Linked DNA regions of Neodiprion lecontei. The protein of the gene in region 1 purifies or fractionates together with the protein of each later gene. This does not show direct contact. Links are inferred from orthologs where the notes say so. Each region holds a gene or a part of one and is shown on either strand. Other genes may lie near its edges.

Region 1 (8,243 bases):
AAGACTTAAGAAAAGCAAAATGCATAAGACTCAAAAATATGCTTGCTAAAGCTGAATGCAATAACTTGTCACAACAACATACTACAAAAATATAACTGGATTGGACAAATAAAAAGTTTTCCAAGCCAATACAAAGAACCGCAATATTTCCTTCAAGAATTTTAAAAGAAAATAAACCGCCGTTGTGTGAAGAGTATAAAATATGTTTCTATGCGTTAGATTTAGCAAAATATAGCCAATCTACAATACTCATAATATTTTCAGAACTACCACTAAAGGCAGACACAAGAATAACTCTCAAAACGATTAAAATTATTGCATAAATTAGATAGCTGAATAATGTATGCTGTAGAATTGTAACAGACCCAAAGCAACATAAAATTAATAATCATTTATACCTATTACAGTTACTGCTGTACCAGAAACAATCTTATGCATATGACTATGCTAGTGAATGGTAAAAGCTTGATCTCATTTAATTTTTAGAGAATCCTGTACTCATTTAGTTTCACATATACCTACATTACAAAAAGATAATAACATATTGTTACAAATAAAATTAACTCCTTTATATCACTTAAGTATAATGGAAAGAACAGTACAATGATTAAATACATACTTCAAAAATCAGCATTCAAGCATGTTTCTCTGAAAAAGTTTGAAGCCATCAAAACTCACCTATCGAATACCCTATTCTTGTAGTTCTTTTCATCTGAGTCATTATCAACATCCTCGTCGTAATCAACTTTTCTCCTTTTTTTCTTACTAGACGACAACGGTTTATTGCCAAGTCTCTTCCGCTGGCTATTAAGCTGTCTCTCTGCTTCATCCGTCTGCCAGTTGGAGTTATTTAGCGCTTCGAGAATTCGCTGTACAAACAGAAAGAAACATAGAATTAAGTATCTGAAATTAAAAATGCGCCAACTTGGGCATTGGCTTGAATTTGACATGAAATTTGGCATTGAGACATGGAACAAACCGGAGCATCGAGGCGAGGATACAATGTACTCAGGTACTTGAATTTTTCTTCCCTTTCTTTGGTTTCTGGTTTATTGTCAACGTGTGGCATCGAACCTTGCAGCTTAGTCGGGCTTCCCACATCGCTGTCACTGTCTTCGATCCTGTTCACTGGCTTACGTCGTATTTGGTTTCCAGAACTCGTCAGGTTACTGTCTTCATCAGCTACAGGCACAAACATCAGAATTTGGTTTTGTTACATGTATTGCTAAAGGTGAGGATAGTAATAAAACAGGATGGAATGGGGGTAAGAAGCTGAAAGAAAAACGGAAAAGAAAAACTGAGGTAAGGTGATTTGAAGTGAATTTAAGTGAAACGTTGAGAAGAATAACGATTGCAATTGCAATTACAATGAAAAATTTTCCATGGGACTTACACGTGTTCATCTTTTTCACTGGTTTTTTCTGAAATCTAAATTTGCGTAAATTTTCCAAAAGACTGTGGCTGCCCGTTGATTTAATCTCAAATGAATTTGAATCTGACATATTATCCCGTCAACTATCGGTGTAGCGCGATAGAGGTGACATTTCGTGGTGTTTGAGATTCTTTCTTTTAGTTTTTCAAAGGCAACCTCCAACAAATGGAGATTATAATAACAGATGCACGGACCCAAGCCGTGTATACTACATGTAGGTGTATATTGTAGAGTATGCAGTTTGTATCTTTAAAATGTAAACGCTTCACTCGATTCACGATCTCGCGTTGCGGAATTTTCACCGCTGAACTTGTAGAGGAAAGATGGCTAATACACGACTCTTGGCGACGGCCGAATGATGGCCGCGAAGTTGGCGAACACCTGCAAGATAAATCATCCGTAGTTTTTTGTGATGTCGAGTCGAGGGTCTTCGTTCAGTTCTCCATAGCGTCGATAGTTTATGGTTCGTAACGAGGGTTTCGAAATTCGATTATTTTCGAAAAGAATGCTGAGGATCTTAATTTTCTCTTGCTTAAACGTCTCCGCCAGTTTTCGAAAAACCGAGATCTTCCAAGTTGCATCGAACTACTCCGTGATAGATCTGCAGCTTACGGACAGACACGTCTGCGAAGAGGTAATTAGTCTCAAAGAGCCAGCCGCTGCTTGAATACGAAATATCGATTTCATCGGTAGAAATAGTCGATGGCTAGAAAAAAGAAATAATCGATTATTCATGTAAAAGAATACGAGTGGAATGGAGGTCGAGTCGTTGCACGGCTAACTTCATAGGATAATCCAACCTTGGCTTTAACTCCCACAGTCCCACCGCGAAGTGCGGAGCGATTGGAGTAACGTCTGTAATTATCGCGGATGGTTCGTACGCCCGGGCGATTCGGTGCTACTGCTGTTCGCATCTATGCGAAAATAAACATCTTTTTCCTATAACCATCCGTCATCAGGTCAGCTGTCAATTGTTGACCGATCAAAATGGTAAGATATCTCTCAGAATCAGTCACACCCGAATACGACAAAGCTGTATGACAAGGGCCGCCGTGCATATCACGCAGGGCGAGACAATCCTGTATAACAATACTTGCGATCCTGCCAGGGTTTTCAGTTACACTATTGCTTCTTCACTGTACTAAAAATTGGTGGAAATATCAATCTGACTTACCGTTTCTCTGATTATTCTTTTCACGAGCTATCTGGGGTCTGGTTAAGCCCCACCTCTGCTTCCCTTTCCTTCCATAAGCTTCACAAGTCTCCAAGTTATCTTTGCATGTAGGTCGCTTCGAACAAGCGACATTAGGCATGCTCAGCTTCGATCAACCTGTTATGGAAGATAGTTTTCTTTACAGGACAACGATGCAGCTGTGCTTCGGAGGCTGGAGCAACTGATGACTGAATTTTTCTCACCACAAACCAGCAATGATCAAAAACGATCAATCGAACAGAGCCTTCATGAATTCGCGGCACAAATCGACTCTTGGAGGCTGTGTCTTTACTTTTTGTCATCAACTGACAATCGCTATGTCAGCATGTTTGCACTCACTACTCTCGAGGCGAGTAAAACTGCTCTATTAGTCATTTTTAGTTTTTTTTTTTTCTCTCTCCTTTAAACCAGTTGCATTTCCCATGTGCAGAAGCTAATATTTGGTATCTGATTGCTTCCAATCCAGCAGACAGCAATTGGACGTCGATGGCCAGTGCTGGGATGGGAAGACAGAGCTATTGTAAGATCAACGCTGTACACTCTCTCCCTAGAACGTGGTATAACTCCGTTTGTTCGGAACAAGGTGGTCAAGTTGGTGGTTGATATCGCCAGGCATGACTGGCCTCACTTTTACTCCGACTTTTTCTCAAATATTTTACAGGCACGTACCTAGTTCGGTGCTCTTTGTGGCTTGCGTTTAAAAACATTTGTATTTAGATGTATAATCGATGAAACACGTTTATTTGTAGTTATTAGGTCACAGGCACACAAGACTATTGGGTCTGGTTTACCTGAAAACTGCTTCTGAGGAATTGGGAACCCCGAGAGAGGACTTACCACTTCACCGAAAAGCGGAATTGCTTAGGTTGTTCAACAGTTTGGTACCAACCGCCTTGGATGTTCTTACAGGTGAATAATTTTATCAACATGAAAGAAATAACAGTAAATAGAATTCTATTATTATGCTGAGAATATTTATGACTTTGTATCCTTTCTGTGAATTTAGAACTTCTTGTCGAAACAACCAAACATCAGAATAGGTCCGGCACAATAACTCCGCCACCTTCGCCGACGGGTGCTCAAAGTGCTCCTCTCCAAGGGAGAACTGTTTTAGATGTGGAAGGACTTGCAGCTGGTAGCGGGGAAATTTGCACCATCACCCTGGAAGTTCTGGCACATTTGTTCACCTGGATAACTCTCACTGATCATTTTTCTACCAACCTATTGAACGTTATTTTCACCTGTGCCAAGTATCGTGATTCAATGGTAATAAACAATAGTTATTAAATAATCCTGACTAGAAACGATAATCTAAAAGTCACCAATTTCTTTTGGAGGCTTATATCGCTTATGTAATACTTCTAACTGATTCTTTTCCGTATTGTCAAAAGTTTAATCTTCCCATTCAGCTGTCAGGGCTTTAGATTGTTAAATCATCTAAGTAATTCAGCAAACTCTTTATACCGTGTCTTGTTTCTCTTTCTGCAAAAAACCATGAAAAAGAGTTGCAAAATTAATTAAAACAAACATGAATTGAATAGAACGGAAGGCAGATTGAGACAGCCGTGCAAGCATTGACGACAATAAATGAACTGTTGTACCGCCCAAGCTCACCGAGTGCCACAGAGAGCTTGCTGCTGCAGATATTTCAACGAGGGATAGAACTATTTCAATCCATAGAACATCTAGAGTCCATCGACGAAAGGTGATTCCGATTTACAAGTTCCAATCGTTCCCGTCTGACCGTCCGTCCGTTCATCCACCTATCCCTCCCTACGTTAGGCCGGTTGTAAAGAAAATACTGGAAAGTTCGTGACGACGGTTTTGCCGTCGGTAACTATTATATGTATGATATAATACTTGCGCTAAAAGTGATAATGAGAACTAAATCCAATTAAACATATGCTAATTATTGTTTTTGGGGTTTACTTTCTTAGCTACTTAGAAAAAATGACCGAGTATCTGCAGTTATTCGTTACAAATCACCTCAAAAAGGTTGAATCTTGCCCAAAGTTTCCCGTCAATGCGCTTCTCGAGGTATTATACCATCACACGTTTCAACGCTGCATCACACCGATGGGGTATACTAGATCATTGGAGGTTTGGTCCATACTGCTGGAAAGCACTCAGGCTCGCTATGCCACAGTCGCTCTCGCGCTCGCAGAACGCGTCTTACAAAAAGTCACCTTCAAATTTAACGCGCACACTCTAAAGGTTCTGGACACTGATACATTGGACGAAAATGTAAGTGGTTTACCTAATCGTGCTTTATCTCACCTTACAAAAGATAATCTCTAATTTTTCAAACATTTTTGCAGGATGAGACGGAGTGGCAGCATTTTTTACGCTGCAATATCGAATGCCTTGCCAAAGTTGCAGACATCTCTCCTATACCGGTGTTCACACTGCTGGTGCGATATTAAATCTTGTATCTTTTTTCCCAGGGACTATTTAGGTATATATTTTATGCTACTTTTATGTTCCCAGTATCAATCCTGGCGGGAGAGTCTATCAGTTTACGCAAAGTTAGGTTCAGCCGTAGCAAGTGGTCAGGTAGTTGTCCTAAACGATTCCGAAGCTTCTAATGTAAGAATTCATTTACGGGACTTGGCGTCCATGACTCAGGCTCTGGCTCGATTGTATGTTCATTTTGTTGGTAAGTTGTATCATTTGAAGTTCATGTTGAGTGATGAATTTATACTGGAAAATACGAAAAGCAGATTTTCAGACAAAGGAAGAAAATAGGTTTACAATTCTTTTGAAGACAAACGTTTTGGAAAAATAGGGGATCAACCAGGGATCGATTGCTCATTGGCCGAGGAACTAGTTTCGCAAACTTTCGAAGTCTGCACTTTTGCCAAGGACAACCAACTGCACAGGGCCAATCTTCAGCCAGTTGAAATACTTCAAGACCTAGTCGAAGTGTAAGCTTATTGGTCAAATATTCGTATGCACGTTTTGCTCAAAAAAATTTTCTCATGCTCCGTCTTCCAGAAATTCACAGATGTTGGCTTCACTCCAGGCATGGTGCCATTGGATATCGGAAAGGCCAGAAAAATTGAAGGACAGTTTAAGTCAACGATGCGTGCAGTCCTGTATTTGGGCCTTGATGCCTAACACGTTTCCCCAAAATTTACCGCCAAAATTTGTTCACTCAGCTGCGCATCTGATGCAGAGCACAGTTTCTATTCTCAAACCAAACCTCTGGGATCAACCTGCATTTAGTGATTTAGTTGTTGCTGGCTCCCATCCGCATCTTAATCAGGATACCGCAAAGGTCCTCAGGAGAGCCCTGGTCAACGGAATAATTCTCCCTGCTGGAGACATCGGAGCGCGGCAAAGACTAATGGGTAAGAATTAACATAGAGATGACGTTTGGTCATTTTTCATCACGCGAATTATAAATAACTTCCCATAGGCACGATGGTCACGGCTCTTTCGCATCCACTAGGAGGAGAGGGGCAGCCGGTGCCTCCTGAAATTGTAGTATCATCGTCGGTACTATCACTCAAAGAGTTGTTGGAAGATTGTCGTTCGTCGTCTACAGCAATAAAAAAACTCTTACACACTAATCTAGAATCAACAGTGAATCGAGTACTGGAACTTCTCCCTCATCTCATCAGATTTCCAGGAACATGTGAAACATTGCTTAGCTTTCTCCACAGCGCCTTTGCTGTTCTTCAGCAACAACTGGGACCAGAGTATACACAAAATGCGGCGCAAGCTATGCTGCACATCTTTACTCGGTAATAAGCATTGTTAAATGTGTGAAGTAAATGGGATGTCTGAAATAGCAGAAATGTTAAAAAATCTAGCGAACAAAACTTACCAACAGCTTGAAAATATCAAACCTTTTTCACCTTCGTTAAATTCTGCATCAATATTTTACAGTGAAAATATATCGATCGGACCAACGTTGGATCAGCTCCTGGAAATATTGATTTTGGTTGTGTCAGCACCTGGCAGAGCTTTCAAAGCGTTCGTGCCATCAATAACAGACTTGTGCTTGAGCAATGTGTGGCCCGTTGTCAGGAGTGATTTGAGCGATCACCCGGATACCACCATAGTTTTATTACGCTTGTTACATAGGTAAAGTGTAACGATTAATCAACTTTACGATCAATTATTCAATTTTATGGGAGTAAAATCCGTCCATACTTGTTTCTTTGCAGTATTTTAATGCACCATTGGCAGTACTTTTACAACTCATCCGTACTACGGACTTTCGGTAATCCCGACGAAGCGGAGCCGGTTGAGCACAGAGAAGAGTTAGTCGCTATTTTGGAAGCGTTTGGTCAGGCGTTACTACAACCAGACGTGAACATATTTCGTCAGAGTCTTCAGAGTCTGGAACAACTAAACTCTAGATGCCGTCTGTACCAGCGTTCTATTTTCAAAACTAATTTACTTGAGAGATTTTTGGCAGCACTTTTTACAGTTTTGTTTCAAAGGTATAAAAAATTTTTTCTTCTCATTTAGAGGAATTTTAAGTGTGTCTACGAATCTGGTCAACAATCTTATATTCATCCCATTTCAGATCTCACGATCTCTTGGCCGACGAAATAGCGACTGCAGTTCACAGTCTTGCGCTTGTCAACTGTGATTGGTTTTTTGGTGAATTTTTGCCAAAATTTTTAACTGGATGTGAGGGACTAGACGACGAACAGAGATGCACACTTTTAGAAAACTTTGACCGAGCAACAGTGAGTATTAATTTTATACTTTATTATGCAATGTAGATGGAAGATTAGTTTACCTATAAATACATAACACATGTTTCTAATTCCAATTTTTTTGTTTTTTCAGGATCAACCGACATTGACAAGATCTGTTCTTCGTATGGTGACTGATTTGAGGTGCTATCAATTTTGTCGGACTGTTTAATATATGTATTATACATACATATCTCCTTTCCTCCACTCTCATATAAATGCGCTAGTACATTACATGACTTTCTGTATTTTTGTTACGAAACGAAGACAAAAAAAAATAATTAACGGTAAAAGATAGTAATTAATAGCCGGCGATAGTCTTTTCGGGAAAAGCATTGATATTTCATGTTTCAACTTCGGCGTACAATTATCAGTCTCGAGTTTTAAAATTGTATAATTATCAATCGCATTCACCCGATGCAGCAAAATACTGCCATATCTATACATTGTATATTCCTATTACGTAGAATAAGAGAGTCAAATGAATTTTATTCGCCCGTTCAATTATTTATGTATAAAACTTCATTATTATGAATAATTATTACAAATTATGAAATTTCTAAATCACTTGATTCATCTATCCCTCGTCCGATATTTGTTGAAATATACAATTTTTATAAAAAGAACCAAGTACTGTCTATCAAATGCGATTGAAAAATGATGTGGCAAACTGAAAAGACCAGACAAAGTGCATATCTATGCATTCGTTTTGTAATGGTTACGTACGTTATGGTCTGTTTGTATTTGTCACTCCGTGAGTGATAAATAACGATAACACCGATTCTGATAACCCGAGACCTCTGTTTGACGTTATTTCATTACTATGGTCTGTGATTATGTTAGTTATTCTTGGGAAACATAGTCGACAATGGCGAGAATCTTGCTG
Region 2 (4,272 bases), on another chromosome or scaffold:
TTAATGACTATCTCAATACGAAATAAATGGAAAAGAAACAGACACATACAGCATCTGCACTCAATTTCTTTCATTTTCATTACTCACATATCTTTCACCCTAGTAGAATGAATACTCGTGCTCTTTTAGTTTTCAAGATCAAAACAGTGAAATGAGTACGAATTGAACTATTTTTCAATTGTTCGATGTAATGTCTAACATTCAAATCATTTACGTGAAATAACCACATAGAAATAACTCTTCGAATATTCAGTATTTAATTATTAAATTACAGATCAGAGCAAAATATCAGTCCTGGAGGCTGTGCTCAGAATACAATCAGAGTTATTCAATGGTTGTGTGGTGGACAGAGTGGACCGCAACTGGGATTGTTCTGTGGAGGACTTGGAAATGATTCTCGGGGGAAAATACTCCAAGACATGGTTCGAGCAATAGGAATTGATGCTCGGTATTTTGTTTATCTATGGCATACGACCAGACTTAAATTTATGAATTGCAGAATACATCTAACAGTCTGATTTATACTAAGGTTCTAATGCCTGATTCTTAATTTCCTCCTAGCTATGCAATTCACCCTGATCTACCAACTGGTGTTTGCGTATCAATGGTAAAGAGACCATGGCGGAGCCTCGTAGCAAATTTAGGTGCTGCTAGTGTGTATACTTTGGATAATCTGGCGCAGCATGATTTGCCGTTAAATTCACTGAAAATAATTTATATCGAAGGATTCTTTATAACGCATAGTTTTGACGTTGCTTTGGAGTTGGTGAAATTGGCTCGAGATAAGGGTATTACTGTAGCATTCAATATCAGTGGCGAATATATCTTCCAGGTTACGTTTCTATACTTGAATAATGTGAAAAATTCTATTAATTTTGTTGCTAACCTACTAACAATACATTTTATTCCATTGGAAATCTTTTCGACAAAGCCTAAATTAACTTGGAACTTGTTGTAAAGAGTTTTGTACTGATATAAAATTACAAAAAATATAGTATGTACTATTCTCAAGACATTCAAACTTCTATATTCTTTTAGGAGCATCAAGTTGCCATTTGTGATATGGTTGGTTTGTCCGGAATTGTATTTGGTAATGCCAGAGAGATGACAGCTTTGGCTCGCGTATTAAATCTCCAGTTCAACAATGTTCAGGAGATCCCATTCCTTCTAAACAATTTGAAAAGGGTCACAGTTGGTGCATCTAGTAAGAATGATGGCAACTGGTTGTCAGATGAGGGTATCATTGTGATGACTCAAGGTGGAAAATCTCCTGCCATCGTCGTTTGGGGAGAGGGTGAATCTGCACAGGTACAAATTGAGGATTTTAATCCTGAATGATAACTGAAAGAATTTGCAATAGCGATGTAATAAATTTCAATCTTAGAATAGTGAAATTACAGGTAAATGAATACAGCTTGAGTTTAATATCTAGATAACGTTTCAGGTTCTACCCGAAATTCCTGAAAACCCTGTACTGGATACAACAGGTGCGGGTGACTCATTGGTGGCTGGTTTTCTGCTCGGTGCTTTAGTTGGACGTAGTCCAAAGGCATGCTTGAAATTGGGCTGTAAAGTAGCAAGCATGATCGTTACTAGAGTTGGCGTAACCTTTCCAGAATCAATACCGGCCCATTTACTACAATAAATATACAATACAAAATTGGAATCTCTTCAAAGCTATTTGAACTTTCATCTAACAAAATAAATAGACCTAGTTAATTTAAAAATTTTTGACTTCATTTTTAAATTAATTGCCTGTGTGTCAGTCGGTAAAAGACCGTGGTCGGTAATAATTCCGTGATACATACCTCGTGCTCTAAGGGGGTATATCACTTGGTGTTTTTCTTTTATCAACGCAGTTATGAGTTTATCTCTCGTTCTGTAGATGGCGTTACAACTAAATTGGCTTTAGCTATACTAGTGGAAAGTGAGGAAACATCAAACAGAAGTGAACAGAAGTTTGGGTAGGAGCCTTAGCTGCAGGATTATTTACGTGCGTAATAAACGTTCAGCACTTATCGTCACAATGTCCTCTACGGTGAGTAAAATACAAATATTTAATAATAAAACGCAGAAAATTAATCGTACACACATTTTTGATGGTATTCTCTTACAATGAACGATCGTAACCTCAAAATTCGACAAACAACCTACGAAGGGTATGATAGTTTGTTAAAATTGTGAACTTTACTGTATTTTGATGTAGTATATCGCTTCATGGAATATTCCATAATTTTTTTATTTCAGCGTCCTGACGATCATCGTCGGAAGTGGAATAGGGAGGAATATGAACGTATAGCGCTACAAAGGCTTCAAGATGAGATTGCCGAAGAGGACTTGGGTATTCCTAAACAGCCAGCGGTTAAAAGAGAGCTGCTCAAACAGCGTGATTACAAGGTTGATCTTGAATCAAAACTTGGAAAAAGTGTTGTCATCAATAAAAATACACCATCATCGCAGACTGGAGGGTAAATTTTTCAAATCTATTTGAAAACTTTTGGCGATTTATCACAGTAAATATTTTTAGTTCTTAACATGCTTTTTCCTTTCTATAGATATTATTGCAATGTCTGCGACTGTGTCGTTAAAGACTCCATCAACTTTTTGGATCACATTAATGGCACGAAACGTAAGTTTACAAATTTTCATTTATTATGATAAAAGATCTTCTCAATTTGTCGACCTGCATTTTAATCAACATATGTCCATTATTCCATCTTATTTCCCTTCATGCGTAACTAATAATGTAACTCCCACTTACAGATCAACGTAACTTGGGAATGTCCATGAAAATTGAACGCTCATCATTGGATCAAGTTAAAGCGAGGTTCGCTCACAACAAAAAGAAATTGGAAGAAAAAAAGAAAGATTACGACCTTGAACAGAGAGTAAAGGAATTGAAAGAAGAGGTAATTATTGTTTTGAAAAAGTCGTTATCGGTCAATAACCGATTATGTTTGTTCTCAGGAAGAAAAAATCAAGGAATATCGAAAAGAGAAGAGGAAAGATCGGAAGCGGAAGTTAGACGAGGCCAATGAGGACGACGCAGGACCTTCTGATGAAATGGCTGCAGTTATGGGATTTTCTGGCTTTGGCTCAAAAAAAAAGTGAGATAAAAATAGTGAAATTGATATGTTTCATTCTCTACTTGATGCGCGTGTAATGAACATGTTCCCAAAGTGTACACGGACGACTAAGATGAGTTTGACATCTTCAAGTGCAATTGTGATAACTCAATTGTCATGTTTCTGTTGGATGCTCATAGGATGAAAATCTGCGTTTGTTTGACCAGGTAAATTACATTGATTATAAACTATAATTTCTCATGAAGTGAATTATTCGTATTCTTCTTAATTAAAAAATTAAATAACAGATATATGAATAACTGCATGTCGTATATTTTCGGAAGTATGAACTGCGAGAAAGAAGCAACATTTATCGAATGTACGTATTATAATTTTATTTGCAGTGAACATTGTCGGTAACAAATTAATTCATAAAACGTGTTTCACTAGAAAGTATACCGTACAGTGAAAATATAGAATAAATACAAATTAATGATATTTAACAAAATGAAAGTAAGTGAATAATAATTTTACATGAATAAGTTAACCTGTTATAAAGCAAATGAGGATATGAAAAAACAAAGATTAAGATTTTGATTGAATATCAAACATACTGCCACATTAGTTTTAATTGGGATGGAAAGCTTTCACCTTATAAACTTTGTCATATTCGCAAGAATAATTGGACAACATTTTTTCTGGACTTAAAGTCTTTTCTACCCATGTTTCACTGTTTATATCATGACGTCTACGTTTTCGCGGTATTTCATTGGTACCTAGATAGTCGTTGCCAGTCGTAGCATCTATTTTATCTTGATTATCTAACCATTCTCTCACAAATGCTTGTACATTTTTCGAAACACTTGAAAAACTGTTGGTGGCAGAAAATCTGCTGGTACTGTGGTCTGAAATATTTGAGTTACAGTCACTTGTTTCAGGAAATGGATCTATCGATAAATGCTGGATTTTTGGGAAACTGTTTTGAGGTATGTTAATCGTTGTAGATGCTTGACACTTTTCTTCAGATGTGTTACAAGCTCTGATCACTTCTGTGTCAGTAAAATTCTGATTTTGATCAGAAACATAGGGTCGCTGAAGATGTTGCTTTGTTAAGCTGAATGCAGCAATATCTTCAAGTATTGCAGGTTGCTTCGGCAAGTAAAAATTGCCTAGGTGTTTTTTTTCACCGACAAAATTTTTAGATTCG

Evidence for each region.
Region 2: the proteins of exportin-6-A (region 1) and zinc finger matrin-type protein 2 purify together in Homo sapiens (co-immunoprecipitation; 3 studies listed by BioGRID and IntAct, with this or other methods). This does not show direct contact. The link is inferred for Neodiprion lecontei from reciprocal best matches to the Homo sapiens genes XPO6 and ZMAT2.

What each region holds. Positions count from the first base shown.
Region 1 is NC_060264.1:2,806,151-2,814,393, reverse strand, and holds exportin-6-A, read left to right. Parts: upstream 1-2,187; 5' UTR 2,188-2,419; coding exon 2,420-2,422; intron 2,423-2,790; coding exon 2,791-2,994; intron 2,995-3,111; coding exon 3,112-3,306; intron 3,307-3,394; coding exon 3,395-3,554; intron 3,555-3,651; coding exon 3,652-3,911; intron 3,912-4,186; coding exon 4,187-4,350; intron 4,351-4,582; coding exon 4,583-4,889; intron 4,890-4,963; coding exon 4,964-5,056; intron 5,057-5,132; coding exon 5,133-5,301; intron 5,302-5,409; coding exon 5,410-5,569; intron 5,570-5,639; coding exon 5,640-5,995; intron 5,996-6,063; coding exon 6,064-6,391; intron 6,392-6,536; coding exon 6,537-6,734; intron 6,735-6,817; coding exon 6,818-7,096; intron 7,097-7,182; coding exon 7,183-7,348; intron 7,349-7,451; coding exon 7,452-7,529; 3' UTR 7,530-7,916; downstream 7,917-8,243. Other genes in the region: SWI/SNF-related matrix-associated actin-dependent regulator of chromatin subfamily A containing DEAD/H box 1 homolog, read right to left, coding at 679-869, 980-1,182, 1,394-1,502; alpha-aminoadipic semialdehyde dehydrogenase, read left to right, coding at 8,226-8,243. UniProt on the Homo sapiens protein: Mediates the nuclear export of actin and profilin-actin complexes in somatic cells.
Region 2 is NC_060265.1:7,534,637-7,538,908, forward strand, and holds zinc finger matrin-type protein 2, read left to right. Parts: upstream 1-1,898; 5' UTR 1,899-2,026; coding exon 2,027-2,038; intron 2,039-2,247; coding exon 2,248-2,468; intron 2,469-2,555; coding exon 2,556-2,629; intron 2,630-2,763; coding exon 2,764-2,909; intron 2,910-2,967; coding exon 2,968-3,111; 3' UTR 3,112-3,757; downstream 3,758-4,272. Other genes in the region: adenosine kinase, read left to right, coding at 275-448, 562-832, 1,039-1,308, 1,433-1,645. UniProt on the Homo sapiens protein: Involved in pre-mRNA splicing as a component of the spliceosome.